2 linked regions of the Macaca fascicularis genome follow. The protein of the gene in region 1 interacts with the protein of each later gene in a pairwise test. Links are inferred from orthologs where the notes say so. Each region holds a gene or a part of one and is shown on either strand. Other genes may lie near its edges.

Evidence for each region. The genes of interacting proteins can lie anywhere in the genome.
Region 2: the proteins of REL (region 1) and CEP19 interact in binary tests that used the Homo sapiens proteins (3 or more experiments, as listed by UniProt). The two-hybrid records come from large-scale screens. The link is inferred for Macaca fascicularis from reciprocal best matches to the Homo sapiens genes REL and CEP19.

What each region holds. Positions count from the first base shown.
Region 1 is NC_088387.1:61,076,958-61,083,953, forward strand, and holds part of REL (proto-oncogene c-Rel), read right to left. Parts: intron 4,697-6,996; coding exon 4,554-4,696; intron 1,410-4,553; coding exon 1,261-1,409; intron 1-1,260. UniProt on the Homo sapiens protein: Proto-oncogene that may play a role in differentiation and lymphopoiesis.
Region 2 is NC_088376.1:2,118,400-2,125,866, reverse strand, and holds the start of CEP19 (centrosomal protein of 19 kDa), read left to right. Parts: upstream 1-2,932; 5' UTR 2,933-3,079; exon of another isoform or gene 3,080-3,606; coding exon of another isoform or gene 3,607-3,631; intron 3,632-7,094; exon of another isoform or gene 7,095-7,200; intron 7,201-7,332; exon of another isoform or gene 7,333-7,335; 5' UTR 7,336-7,390; coding exon 7,391-7,467. UniProt on the Homo sapiens protein: Required for ciliation. Recruits the RABL2B GTPase to the ciliary base to initiate ciliation.

The sequences.
Region 1 (6,996 bases):
ACTGCAATGAACAGCATTAGAGCATAATGTCTGAGTACATGTAATTATTTTCTGAGGCTAAACTCCTAGAAGTGGAATGGCTGGCTCAAGAGGCATTCATATTTTTCGGGCTTTTGTTATGCAGTTAAATTGCCTACCAGACGACTTTATTAATTTACATTCTAACATGATGAATGGGCCCATCTTCTGGTAGCCTCACTATCATGAAATATTACATGATTATTTTTCTCTTAGAACTATTGTTATATGTTAATTCTATAACCTGCCATTTTCTAAATAATAACTCTAGAGTTTTCCAGTTGATTTTTCTCACATCCAGGCATTTTTATGTTAACTGTAAATGGGCGTGGCACAATGGCTCACATCTGTAATCCCAAGCACTTTGGGAGGCCAAAGCGGGAAGACTGCTTGAGTCTAGGAGTTCAAGACCACCCTGGGCAACACAGCAAAACCCAATCTCTACAAAAAATACAAAAATTAGCCGGGCATGGTGGTGCATGCCTATAGTCCCAGCTACTCAGGAGGCTGAGGCTGAAGATGGCTTGAGTCTGGAGGTGAAGGATGCAACGGGCCGAGATCATGCCACTGCACTCCAGCCTGGGTAACAGAGGGAGACCCTGTCTCAAAATAATAAGTTAACTATAAATGAAAAGACAGAGGCCGGGCGCGGTGGCCCACGCCTGTAATCCCAACACTTTGGGAGGCAGAGGCAGGCAGATCATCTGAGGTTGGGAGTTCGAGACCAGCCTGACCAACATGCAGAAACCCCATCTCTAATAAAAATACAAAAAAAATTAACCAGGCGTGGTGGCGCATGCCTGTAATCCCAGCTACTCGGGAGGCTGAGGCAGGAGAATCGCTTGAACCCAGGAGGTGGAGGTTGCAGTGAGCCAAGATTGTGCCACTGCACTCTAGCCTAGGCAACAAGAGCAAAACTCCGTCTTGAAAAAAAAAAAAAGAGTGAAAAATTATTTCAAAAACTGTCCACCCCAAGAAAGGAAATCACGGTATACAATAAGTTTACGTTTACTTTTAATAACAATAAAAATGTCTTCCTGCTAACCATCATAAGATGTGTCTACTAATGAAGAATGAAAGGGTAGTTCTAATGCAAATAGTAAAAATATAAGTGTAAAATATAGTAAATAGAAGTAGAATGAGAAAATTATTCTGCTAAAAAGTAACAGACTGTCACGGAGAAGAAACAGAACGTCCTATGTCTCATCTTATTTCTGAAGATGTCTGTAGCTGTGTACTTACAACAAAGGTCTGCGTTCTTGTCCAAATTCCGCTTCATAGTAGCCGTCTCTGCAGTCTTTTCCAACTAAATCATGAGGATGAGGTTTATATGGGTCATTCTTTGTTACTAATGTAATTCTCACTTTTCCTTTTCCATAATAGTTCATAATCTGAAAAAAGGGGGAAATTAAATATATGATCCAAATAGATCGCATTAGAAACTGATCTACTAAATGAGAGTTCAATTTACATTAATTATAATGTAATTGGCACTAAATAAATAAAGTCCAACTGACAAACAACTGCACTTTAGATGAAACTTTCCAGAGAATACCAGTATAGAAGAACTTACCTCTCAGCTTCTTGACATATTTTCTGCCCTAATTTCATTTGGTCATATCATTTGACTCTGCTTAATTTTCCTTTTAAAACAAGTAAAACTCTACCCAAATTTTATCATAGAACATGAGAAAACAGATGTTAAGTCACTAAATGCCCAGCTCTTAAATGTACTGTCATACCATAAACATTCCTTGAATATATATTTAAGCCATATTGGAAAGGATAGCACATAAATATGATCATTTTACTTAATATGTGACATTTCATTTCACAAAAATATTTTTTCAGTAAGCATACCCCAACTGCACTCTAGAATAGGCAATAAATCAAATTGAGTTTAACAACATCAAATTTCACATAGAAAGTACATCTTAGAACACAGAGTAAAAAGGAGAGTTTAACATGGAAGAGGAATGAGGACAGGAAATAATGCTTAGTTTGAAAGCTAGTAAATTTGCAAGAACAAAGCGGGGAATATAAAAACCAGCATACCACAAAGGAGCAAGGTAAAGTAAGAATGGCTAGCTTACGAGGTAGAGGAAACTAAAATCCATAATTTTGAATTAGAATTTGAAAGTAACCAGGAAGTATTACATTTCTTTCTGTATGAAAGTAAAGGTAATTGCTCAAGACTATAAGTAGGCAAATACACAACTCAAGCTGTAAAGTGTTTAGGACCTACTGGAATAGTAAAAATACAGATCTTAGAAATATTTTAGAGATGCATAGGATAAGACGAATTATGAAGAAAACTTTAAAAATGACTCAAAAAACTGGCCAAAGAGTATTTCCTTAGTTCCTTTTTTTTAAATTTTTTTTTTTCTGGAGACGGAGTCTCGCTCTGTCGCCCAGGCTGGAATGCAGTGGCCGGATCTCGGCTCACTGCAAGCTCCGCCTCCCGGGTTCACGCCATTCTCCTGCCTCAGCCTCCCGAGTAGCTGGGACTACAGGCGCCCGCCACCTCGCCCGGCTAGTTTTTTGTATTTTTTAGTAGAGACGGGGTTTCACTGTGTTAGCCAGGATGGTCTCGATCTCCTGACCTCGTGATCCACCCGCCTCGGCCTCCCAAAGTGCTGGGATTACAGGCTTGAGCCACCGCGCCCGGCTCCTTAGTTCCTTTTTATTAGCATCTCACCCATTTTAACATTTAAAAGACTTAGATAACCCAAATCCATACTACTGCCAAAAATGTGATAAAAATAGAAATCTGGAATTCAATATATAATTTTGCCACTGATTTATTCTATAACTTAGCAATTCCCTTTAAGTTCATCAACAGAATAGACTTTGTAAATAATCTAGTTATAAAACAATGAATTAAGATCTGTTGATAAAAGTAACACTTTTCAAATAAAAAAAAAAAGTAACACTTCAAAATCTACTTTACCATTCAAGTTTTTAATTGGCATTTAAAGGATAAACCCTTCACTGAAACTCAAATGAAAAACAGTTTACAAATAGAAAATATAAATTTAGTACATTGGGCTGGGTGCAGTGGCTCACGCCTGTAATCCCAGCACTTTGGGAGACCGAGGCGAGCGGATCATGAGGTCAGGAGATTGAGACCATCCTGGCTAACACGGTGAAACCCCGTCTCTACTAAAAATACAAAAATTAGCTGGGTGTGGTGGCACACGCCTGTAGTCCCAGCTACTCAGAAGGCTGAGACAGGAGAATCACTTGAACCTGGGAGGCGGAGGTTGCAGTGAGCCAAGATCATGCCATTGCCCTCCAGCCTGGGCGACAGAGTGAAACTCTGTCTCAAAAAAATAAAAAATAGGCCGGGCGTGGTGGCTCACACCTGTAATCCCAGCACTTTGGGAGGCTGAGGTGGGTGGATCACGAGGTCAGGAGATCAAGACCATCCTATCCTGGCTAACATGGTGAAACCCCATTTCTACTAAAAATGCAAAAAAATTAGCCAGGCACCAGTGGTGGTGGGCACCTGTAGTCCCAGCTACTCGGGAGGCTGAGGCAGGAGAATGGCGTGAACCCGGGAGGTGGAGCTTGCAGTGAGCAGAGATTGTGACACTGCACTACAGCCTGGGCAAAAGAGTGAGACTCCGTCTCAAAAAAAAATAAATAAATATATAATAAGTAAATAAATTTAGTACATCTTGGCTGTGCGCGGTGGCTCATGCCTGTAATCCCAACGCTTTGGGAGGCCGAGACAGGTGGATCACCTGAGGTCAGGAGTTCGAGATCAGCCTGGCCAACATGGTGAAACCTTGCCTCTACTAAAAAATACAAAAATCAGCTGGGCGTGGTGGTGGGCACCTGTAATCCCAGCTACTCGGTAGGCTGAGGCAGGAGAATCACTTGAACCCAGGAGGTGGAGGTTGCAGTGAGCCAAGATTGTGACATTGCACTCCAGCCTGGGAAACAAGCACGAAACTCCATTTCAAAAATAAATAAATAAATTTAGTACATCTTATAACTATTAGTATGTTTACCAAAGTCATTTTTAGTCAAAAGCTTTTAAAAATTTATGCTAATGTGAGAAAACTACATTTATAAAGTGGTATTTCAAATCAGTCAATGACCCAGAGAATCAGAGACAAGCAACAAAGGTAAGAAAAAGGACAAAAAAATGTTCTAGCCCTAAGACTAGCCAAGAAGAATTATGATTGAGTTATCAAACCTATGTTTAATCTACAGAAGAGTATCACCCACCTCTGTAGAGAATGGGTTTTCCTTATTATCTTTGTGTTCCATGAAAAAGAACATGATCCAAAAGCTGCCAACTATCCCCACTGCAGATAGCTATATGGTGCTGTGTATTAACCTAAGTAGAGCGACTAAACATTATGAGGAAAAGGAAAAAGAAAAAGAAAAAGAAAAAGAAAAAAGGAAAAAAGAAAAAGACAAAACTGTGGAGATGATTGTTAAGAAACTGTCCCTTTAAAATAATTGCTATAGCTAATATATGAAGCAACTAATAGCGAGATAGACATAGAAGAAGGGTCTATTACCTGGATAGAAGGGTATGTTCGGTTGTTGTCTGTGCTGTGCTCCCCTGGAATGCTGCCCGCTGATCGCCCTTCACATTTGTATCTAAAACGCATTCCCCTCTGCCTGGGTTGTTCAATTATCTCTATATACGGGTTATACGCACCTGAAAAGTTTTTTAAAAGGAGGAGGTGAGTGAGATTAATATAGCAATTAATAATGGATTTTAACACGTCTGTTTTTTCATAACAGCAGACTAAAATAAAGATTTTTTTTTCCTCCTAACATTAAATAACAAGGTTGAAATGTTATCTTGGAGATTGGCTGGGAGAGGCACCTTTTTTTCCCATTCAGATTGAGTCCCTATGTAGTGTCAAAACAAGTCATTCAAACCATATTGATTGGTTAGCACTTTATAGCTTAATATCTATAGCTAACATCAATATGAACTTCTGAGATAACCACTTCAGAGATATCCACCTCCCACGTGAGACCTAGCAGAAGGGTTTCCCCCAAGATTCCCCAAGAAGGGTAAAGAAGATAGTACTCAGAAGTAAAATATTACACTCCTAAAGTGAGTTAAATGTATTTAACTGCTTGATTTTACATCATATTCATAATACTGAATGAAAAGACCATTCACTGAAAATGAAAATGCATTTAAATCCCTGCAGAAGCATATGTAAGTTTTTTCTATCTCCATTCAAATGTTAAAGGACTTACACATAGTATATCAAAACAAGCCCCAGGAGGGACTTTAGGCTCAAAGAATGTGTCACCAGTCCCATGTAAACCTTTTCTAAAGATACAACAGAGAAAAAAAATTATTTACTTTCTATAATAACTAAAATTCAAAATAAGCATCTGCAGAATGAATTGCTGATACATATAATAACATGATGACTCTCAAAATCATTATGCTGAGTGAAAGAAGTTAGACCAGAAGAGCACATACTGCATGATTCCATTTATATGAAACTCTAGGATATGTAAAGTAACATACAATGAACAATAGCAGATCACTGGTTGCCTAAGAACAAGAATATATGGTGGATAGGAAAGGCAGGGGGGACAATGGACATGTTAATTATCTTGTGATGATGATTCCAAGGTTGTATAGGTATGTCAAAAATTATCAAATTGCATACTTTAAAAGTGCAGTTTGTTGTACATAAATTATATGTCAATATGTCAATAAAGTTATTTAAAATATATGTAACTTTACTATTTTTTATTATCCAAATTGTGGGGGAAAAGGTAAATAGACACTCAACTGTACTTGCAAGTAGGGGAGTTAATAGAGGTGTGAAGATGTTTTCCATTAAAAAAAAAAAAAAGGGTCCCTTAATCAGTTTAGTGCCGACTAAGGCTTCTCCTGTTAGAATGCAAGCAATCCTGAGAAATGGTAACACAGTGGGCCTTATCAGAACAGTATGAAGAAGAGGCCTCTGGAATCCTACCCCATCTACTTCCTAACAGTAAGACCACAGAAAAGTTATTAAAATTAAAATCTCTTAGTTTCCGCCTCTGTAAAATAGGAATAATCATAATAGCACCTACCTCATTGGGTTGTTGTGAAGATTACAGATTATACGTGCTAAATTCTTACCAAGTGTCATATATACATATATGTTCAATAAATGGTGTCTATTATTTCAGATGCTTTCTTGATAACAATGATTTAGTGATACCATGGTGGCATCACAACTGTCACTCTAAAGGACCTTACAGAAGAGCAAGGCGAACAACACATATTATTAGACTACAGAAGGAAGGAAAGCACTAACAAAATTTTGTGGAAATAAGAGCGGAAGAGTCAGGAACGCCCAACTGTGTCAGTGGAAAAAGAGCGGTTAATGAAGCAAAAGAGTGGGGGAAATAAAGAGGAAAAAGTTAGGTATTCTAGGGAAAGGGGAACAATGTGTCCACAGAGGAGGGTTTATTTAAGAATCACCAATGTTTGTAAGTGGAATACACTTCCTCTCTTAGAAAGAGAACTAAAAGTCAGAGCACACTTGGCAATGTGGATTTCATTTTATGTGTGATGAAATCAATGAATAATTTGATGCAGGCAAATCACATGATCATATTTACGTTTTAGAGTAAAAATTTTAAGCGGGGCACAGTGGCTCACGCCTGTAATCCCAGCACTTTGGGAGGCCGAGGCGGGTAGATCACGAGGTCAGGAGATCGAGACCATCCTGGCTAACACGGTGAAACCCCGTCTCTACTAAACATATAAAAAAAATTAGCCGGGCGTGGTGGTGGACGCCTGTAGTCCCAGCTACTCAGGAGGCTGAGGCAGGAGAATGGCGTGAACCCGGGAGGCAGAGGTTGCAGTCAGCCGAGATCGGCCACTGCACTCCAGCCTGGGCAACAGAGCGAGACTCTGTCTCAAAAAAAAAAAAAAATTTTTGGTCACAGCAGACAGAAAAAAGAAAGCAACGTGATCAGTTTAGAGACCAC
Region 2 (7,467 bases), on another chromosome or scaffold:
CTGGAAAACCTCCAACCCTCAAAAAAGAAATTGTATTTGCTTTGGAGAAGCATATGATCTTTTCCCAAATAAACAAATCCCCAAATCCCATATGTATCTTATACTAATCCAGATTTTTATTTGTTCTTTTTTTATTTTTATTTATTTATTTATTTTTTTGAGACGGAGTCTCACTTTGTCGCCAGGCTGCAGTGCAGTGGCACGATCTCGGCTCACTGTAACCTCTGCCTCCCGGGTTCAAGTGATTCTCCTGCCTCAGCCTCCGGAGTAGCTGGGACTACGGGCACCCACCATCACGCCCAGCTAATTCTTGTATTTTTAGTAGAGATGGGGTTTCACCGTGTTAGCCAGGCTGGTCTCGATCTCTTGACCTGGTTATCTGCCCGCCTCGGCCTCCCAAATGCCAGGATTACAGGCGTGGGCAACAGCACCCAGCCAAGGCTCTACCTCTTAAAAAAAAGAACAAAAAGCCCAGGCGTCGTGACTTATGCCTGCAATCCCAGCACTCTGGGAGGGCGAGGCGGACAGATCACAAGGTCAAGAGTTTGAGACCATGCTGGCCAACATGGTGAAACTCTGTCTTTACCAAAATACAAAAAATTAGCCAGGTGTGGTGGTGTGCACCTGTAGTCCCAGCTACTTGGAAGGCTGAGGCAGAAGAATCGCGTGAACCTGGGAGGTGGAGGTTGTAATGAGCCGATATCACGCCACCGCACTCCAGCCTGGCGACAGAGCGAGACTCCGTCTCAAAAAAAAAAAAAAAAAGAGAGACAGGGCCTTACTCTGTCACACAAGCTGGAGTGCAGTGGCATGATCACAGCTCACTGCAGCCTTGAACCTCTGGGCTCAAGCAATCCTCCTACGTCAGCCTCCCAAGTAGCTAGGATTACAGGCCCACGCCACCACACCTGGCTAGTTTTACATTTTTTTGTAGAGACAAGGTCTTGCTATGTTTTCCAGGCTGGTCTTGAACTCTTGGCCTCAAGCAATCCTCCCACCTCAGCCTCCCAATGTGTTAGAATTTCAGGTGTGAGTCGCTGTACCCAGCACAAATCCAGATTTTTCTTCATCATGTTTAATTTTAACAGGGGTAGGGTGGGAAGTGAGGGCTACTATCCAACTATAAATTAAATTAGAAGAAAAATTATTAACAGGTTTAAATTCTATCGGTATGTACACCAGACAGCAGTTGATCACTGGGACCGGAGAAAGGCTAATTTACAAATAGTATAGCAAATACTATAATATTATGACTTTAAAGGCAAAAGTACCACTTTTAAAAAGAATTTGTTGGATATGAATTTACCTTCAACATTTTTCCTCTTAAATATTACTTTGGTTGTGGTGAACTGGCTCTGGAAATTGACTCCTTTTTTTTTTTTTTTTTTTTTTTTGAGACGGAGTCTCACTCTGTGGCCCAGGCTGGAGTGCAGTGGCCCAATCTCAGCTCACTGCAAGCTCCTTCTCCCGGGTTCACGCCATTCTCCTGCCTCAGCCTCCCGAGTAGCTGGGACTACAGGCGCCCGCCGCCTCGCCCGGCTAGTTTTTTGTATTTTTTAGTAGAGATGGGGTTTCACCGTGTTAGCCAGGATGGTCTCGATCTCCTGACCTCGTGATCCACCCGTCTCGGCCTCCCAAAGTGCTGGGATTACAGGCTTGAGCCACCGCACCCGGCCAATTGACTCCTTTTTACTTTTTTTCTTTTTGAGACAGAGTCTCCTTCTGTCACCCAGACTGGAGTGCAACGGCGCGATCTCAGCTCACTGCAACCTTGGCCTCCCTAGTTCAAGCGATTCTCCTGCCTTAGCCTCCCGAGTAGCTGGGATTACAGGCCCACGCCATCAGGCCCGGCTAATTTTGACCCCTTTTTAATTATAAAATGCCAATGCTGGAAGCCTCTAGAGATGACCAAATCCAACTGTTTAAAAATTCTTCTGGCCGGGCATGGTGGTTCACGCCTGTAATCCCGGCACTTTGGGAGGCTGAGGAGGGTGGACCACCTGAGGTCAGGAGTTCAAGACCAGCCTGACCAATATGGCAAAACCCCGTCTCTACTAAAATACAAAAAATTAGCTGGGCATGGTGGCGGGCGCCTGTAATAATCCCAGCTACTTGCGAGGTTGAGGCAGAAGAATTGCTTGAACTTGGGAGGCGGAGGTTGCAGTGAGCCGAGATCGCGCCATTGCACTCCAGCCTGGGCAAGTGAGACTCCATCTCAAAAAAAAAAAAAAAAGAAATTGTTGGCCTCATAATCCTTTGTTTAGATAAACTTGAAAACCCAGTATGTAAACACACAAGCAGAAATGCACTGATTGACACATACTAAATGGATCTAAATGGTACCAAGGATGACAGAAACATCCTCATTTTACAGATGGAGAAACTTGCCGGGTTTGTGCTTTCCTCCCGTCAAACCTTACCACTTTATTGTAACTATTCCCGCGCTTGCCTGCCTCAGTAGTACAAGCAGTTTGCCAACTACTACTTGCACGAACAACTAGCAGTTTGCACGCAGTCCTATATTCGGTTTAGGCATTCTCAGGCCTCACAGGGCGCTAAGGCCTTGCTGGCCCCTTGGTGATCAGAAGCTTCGTGCAACCCAAGAGCGTCCCAAGACGCCTGACGGCTGACTTTCCTTCTCAGGACCTTAGTGACAGGGCGGCCAGTCCAGCCTGGGAACCGCAGGGCCCGAGCCCCACTCTCCGGAGACCCGGGATCCGCCGCAGAGCAAAGCGCACGGGAGCGCCGGGGGCGGGAGGAGGGCACGCGGCTCTAGCGTTTGACCTCCTCCGGCTGGCCCTGCTGATCTAAGTCCCGCGCCGGGTCCCCACATCCCCGTAACCGGCGGAGAGGCCGGGGAGCCGCGACCGCTCCCCACGCTCCGGCCCCCAAGCCCCGCCCGCATTCCGCAGCCCCGCCCCTTACCCGCGTCAGAGCGCGCGGCGCCGAGGACCGCGGGGGACCCGCGCGTGAGCCCGGTCGCCGCCCCGAGGAGCAGCCAGGCGACCGCCCGAACCGCCGCCACCCGAACCGCCAGGACGCCGGAGGCCGGACGCCCGAGAGGGGCGCGCGGGGCCAGGTGCGGACGCAGGAAGGGGCCTGGCTGCCCGCAGCTCCTACGGCGCGCTGCCCCAGATTTACCGGCCGGGACAGAGGGCTGGGTGCGCCCCTGGCGCCCGCGGTTCCCCGCGGCCTGTAGCCCCGGCCCCCACAGGTTCCCGCGCGGCGTGAGGCGGCCGTCCCGGCCCCGCCGTTCCCCTCTCCGCCCACCCGGGGGCGGGCGAGGAGCTGCGCACGCGCGGGGACGCGCGCCCGGCCTGTTGCTGTGGAAACGGCTCGGCCAGCGCCCCCCAGAATCCCTGCACGCCGAGGTGGGAGCCGGTGGACCGTGCCCCCGGCCGGCCCCACCTCCGCTTCCCGGTGTTTGAGGGTTCGGGCCTCCGGCCGGGGAGTTCACCCCTCGGGCTCGTCAGTAGGGCTGTGGCTGTGGCCTCTTCCTGCAGCGCCAGGCTCCGCCCGGCCTCAAAGTCGGCTTAGGTGCTTTCCGTGCGCTGCGGTTGGGTGGAAAAACCCACGCCTGGGTGTTTAGACGTTGGCCTGCAGAAGATGTCATTTCTGTATTTCTCTAAGGGTAAGAAAGCCAGCCTTGCACTAGTGGAGACGTGAGTAGGGAAAGAATCGTCTACCGTTTGGCGACATCCGTACCCTTAGGTGCTGTGGGGCTTCCTAACAAGATTGTAGGCAGTTCCTGATCTCTGGAGAGAGGAGTATTCGTGTCCAGGAAGAATAATTGTATAAACGTGGCCTCCTTCTTCCTGAACAGAGTGTAATCTGTAAGCAGGCCAAGAGAGCACAGGCGGCTTGGAGTGGAATAGAGGGCTCTAGAGCTGGTGTCTCAAAGGGGAAACAATGTATGTCAAAAGATACTATCCAAAACTGAAAATAGCCGGGCAAGGTGGCTCACGCCTATAGTCCCAGCACTTTGGGCGAATCACCTGAGGTCAGGAGTTCGAGACTAGCCTGGCCAACATGGCGAAACCCCGTCGCTACTGAAAATACAATTAGCTGGGCGTGGTGGTAGGCACCTGTAATTCCAGCTACTTGGGAGGCTGAGGCACGAGAATCGCTTGAACCCGGGAGGTGGAGGTTGCAGTGAGCCGAGATCACACCACTGCACTGCAGCCTGGGCGACAGAGCGAGACTTGTTTCAAAAAAATAAAAACTGAAAATGGTAGTATAAGCATGTTTCTTAAGAAATGGAGAGAGAAATTTTGGAAGGCATGCTTTTTAAAATTCAATCCGGCTCCGTATGAAGAGGAGTAGGGCCAAGGACTATAGTTTGTTGTTATAAGCCTTATAGAATTATTTTATATTCCAAATACAAACATTACTTCAACAAAAATTAAAGTTAAATTTTAAAAAGAGTCTAGTAAAAAAAACTACATTATTTGAGCACCAACTGCATACATCTTTGAGGAGTACAGCCACTGCGTCAGTGTGTGTAGTTTATATTGTGCCCAGTAGGTTCTAGTTTACTAACATCAAATTTTAGTTAGGTGAATTGGGAGTAGTATTCGTTGAAAAACAAAAAAAAGCTGGGCGCGGTGGCTCACGCCTGTAATCCCAGCACTTTGGGAGGCCGAGGCGGGCGGATCACAAGGTCAGGAGATCGAGACCACGGTGAAACCCCGTCTCTACTAAAAATACAAAAAACTAGCCGGGCGCGGTGGCGGGAGCCTGTAGTCCCAGCTACTCGGGAGGCTGAGGCAGGAGAATGGCGTGAACCCGGGAGGCGGAGCTTGCAGTGAGCCGAGATCGCGCCACTGCACTCCAGCCTGGGCGACAGAGCGAGACTCCGTCTCAAAAAAAAAAAAAAAAAAAAAGGAAAAGAGAAGGAAAAGAAGGAGAAAATGGTGTGGGATCATTGCATCAGATTAGAGGTAGAGCACAGTAATTTTTTAAAGTTTTTTTTTTTTTTTTTTTTTTTGAGACGGAGTCTCGCTGTGTCTCCCAGGCTGGAGTGCAGTGGCGTGATCTCGGCTCACTGCAAGCTCCGCCTCCCGGGTTCCCGCCATTCTCCCGCCTCAGCCTCCCAAGTAGCTGAGACTACAGGCGCCCGCCACCACGCCCGGCTAGTTTTTTGTATTTTTAGTAGAGACGGGGTTTCACCATGTTAGCCAGGATAGTCTCGATCTCCTGACCTCGTGATCCACCCGCCTCGGCCTCCCAAAGTGCTGGGATTACAGGCTTGAGCCACCGCGCCCGGCTAAAGTTTTTTTTTTTTTAAAGAATAGGCTTATCACGCTTTGGAGAGGCTGTTGTGCAGTGGCACCATCTCAACTCACTGCAGCCTCAAACTCCTGGGTTCAAGCGATTCTCCCACCGTGGCCTTTGGAGTATCTGGGACTACAGGTGCATGCTGCCATGCCTGGCCAATTTTTAAATTTTTTGTAGAGACATGGTCATGGGCTCACTGTGTTGCCCAGGCTGGTCTCAAACTCCTGGCCTCAAGGGATCTTCCCTCCTTGGCCTCCCAAAGTGTTGGGATTACAGGCCTGAGCCACCATGGCTGCCTCCATCTTTTTGAGATGGAATCTTGCTCTGTCACCCAGGCTGGAATGCAGTGGTACCGTCTCGGCTCACTGTGACCTCCACCTCCCAGGTTCAAGTGAGTCTCCTGCCTCGGCCTCTCAAGTGGCTGGGATTACAGGCACCTGCCACTATGCCCAGCTAATTTTTGGATGTTTAGTAGGGACGTGGTGTCACCATGTTGGCCAGGCTGGTCTTGAACTCCTGACCTCAAGTGATCTGCCCACCTCAGCCTCCCAAAGTGCTGACTGGGGTGAGCCACTGTGCCTGGGCTTATACGTGATTAATTTTCTAAGAGTAAAAATTCTCATGTCCAACAATAAGTGTGAATAATATGATTTTAGTACATCCATAAAATACAATACTTAGCAGTCGTATAAAATGTTACATTGTAGTAAAACATTTAATGACAAAATAATAACATATGTTGTTAAATTTGAACTTCAGGAAATAGCTTGTACGACCATGTGTGAAACATACTTAAACTATATGCCTAGAAAAAAGACTGGACACAATTAAGGGTGATTATTTTCTATATGTTTCCCCTCTCCTTTGCCCCCAGTATTCTACAATGAAGGTGTATAATCACTGCTAAGTATTTTATTAAAAGTATGTTCCTAATAGTGATTCTTCAGCAGAACTGAGTTCACGAAAATATCATACCCTATGCCACTTTACCTCAATGTTTCTTAACATTTACAAATCTTTCTGAGAATGTCATAGTCACATCTAAAGCACTGCTTAGGAGATTAAGTGTATTATTTGGGCATTGAGGGTGGGGAAAGGAAGGGAGAATAGTAAGTATTCATCTATTAATAGCTGTGCTTCTTGTAGCTAGAAGAATATCATATAGTGAGACACGTAGGCCAAAATAAAAGCCGTGCAGATGTTACTGACTTGTATATGAAGAAGATGATTCTGTATCAGGTCTGCTTTTTGATCAGGCTTCTAGACTGTAAGTGCTTACGAAAATGTACAGGTACCATCATTTTAATTCATAGCATTAAACAATGTATGGAATGCCTACTACTTTCCAGGTATTATGCTGAGATATTGTGGTGAAAAATGAATATGCCCCCACCCTCATATACCATATTGACTAGAAGGGAAGATAGATGATTAAATAAATAATAACGAAAAACTCTAGTAAATTGGGAAAGTACAAAGGAGACAGCTCTGGACTGGTGAACCTCTCAGGACAAAATGATTAAGGTTAAAAAACTCATAGTACCTTGATACCGAGGATGCTTGATATGCCCTTTTTTAATTGATAAATAGTAAAGACCCTATAGGTCAGCTATTGGACTGACTTAGGGGTTCATATTCAATCTTCAGTAAGAGTGCAGTACACTAAGAGGTTCACACTGGATTGCATCCCCAGATTCACATATGAACAAGTCTATATCCTTGAGAACACCAGAGAGCCTTAGGGATCCAACAAATTGAAACTAACCCAGGACCAAACTGAACCTTCAGGGCAGCTCTCAAAATAGGAAGCTCTCTTTGTGGTCGCTTCAGCACACATACACCACAATTGGGATGATACAGAGAAGATTAGCATGGCCCCTGCGCAAGGATGACACACAAATTCATGAAGATTCTACATTTTAATTTTTAAAAAATATTGAGCTTCACAGGCTGAGCATCTGTGGCCAGAGCTAGACTAGAATCGGATCTTCTGGGGCAAAGGGGCGAGGGGAATGAATGACATTTATCCAACACCTAGTTGTTTTTTCCCTGTAGCAGGAAGTCATTATGCAACTTACACATTTCCATCAGATTTCCTCTGACTTACCCTGACATGTACGTGGGAATGATGTGCACTGCCAAGAAATGTGGGATTAGGGTTCAGCCTCCAGCTATTGTCTTAATCTATGA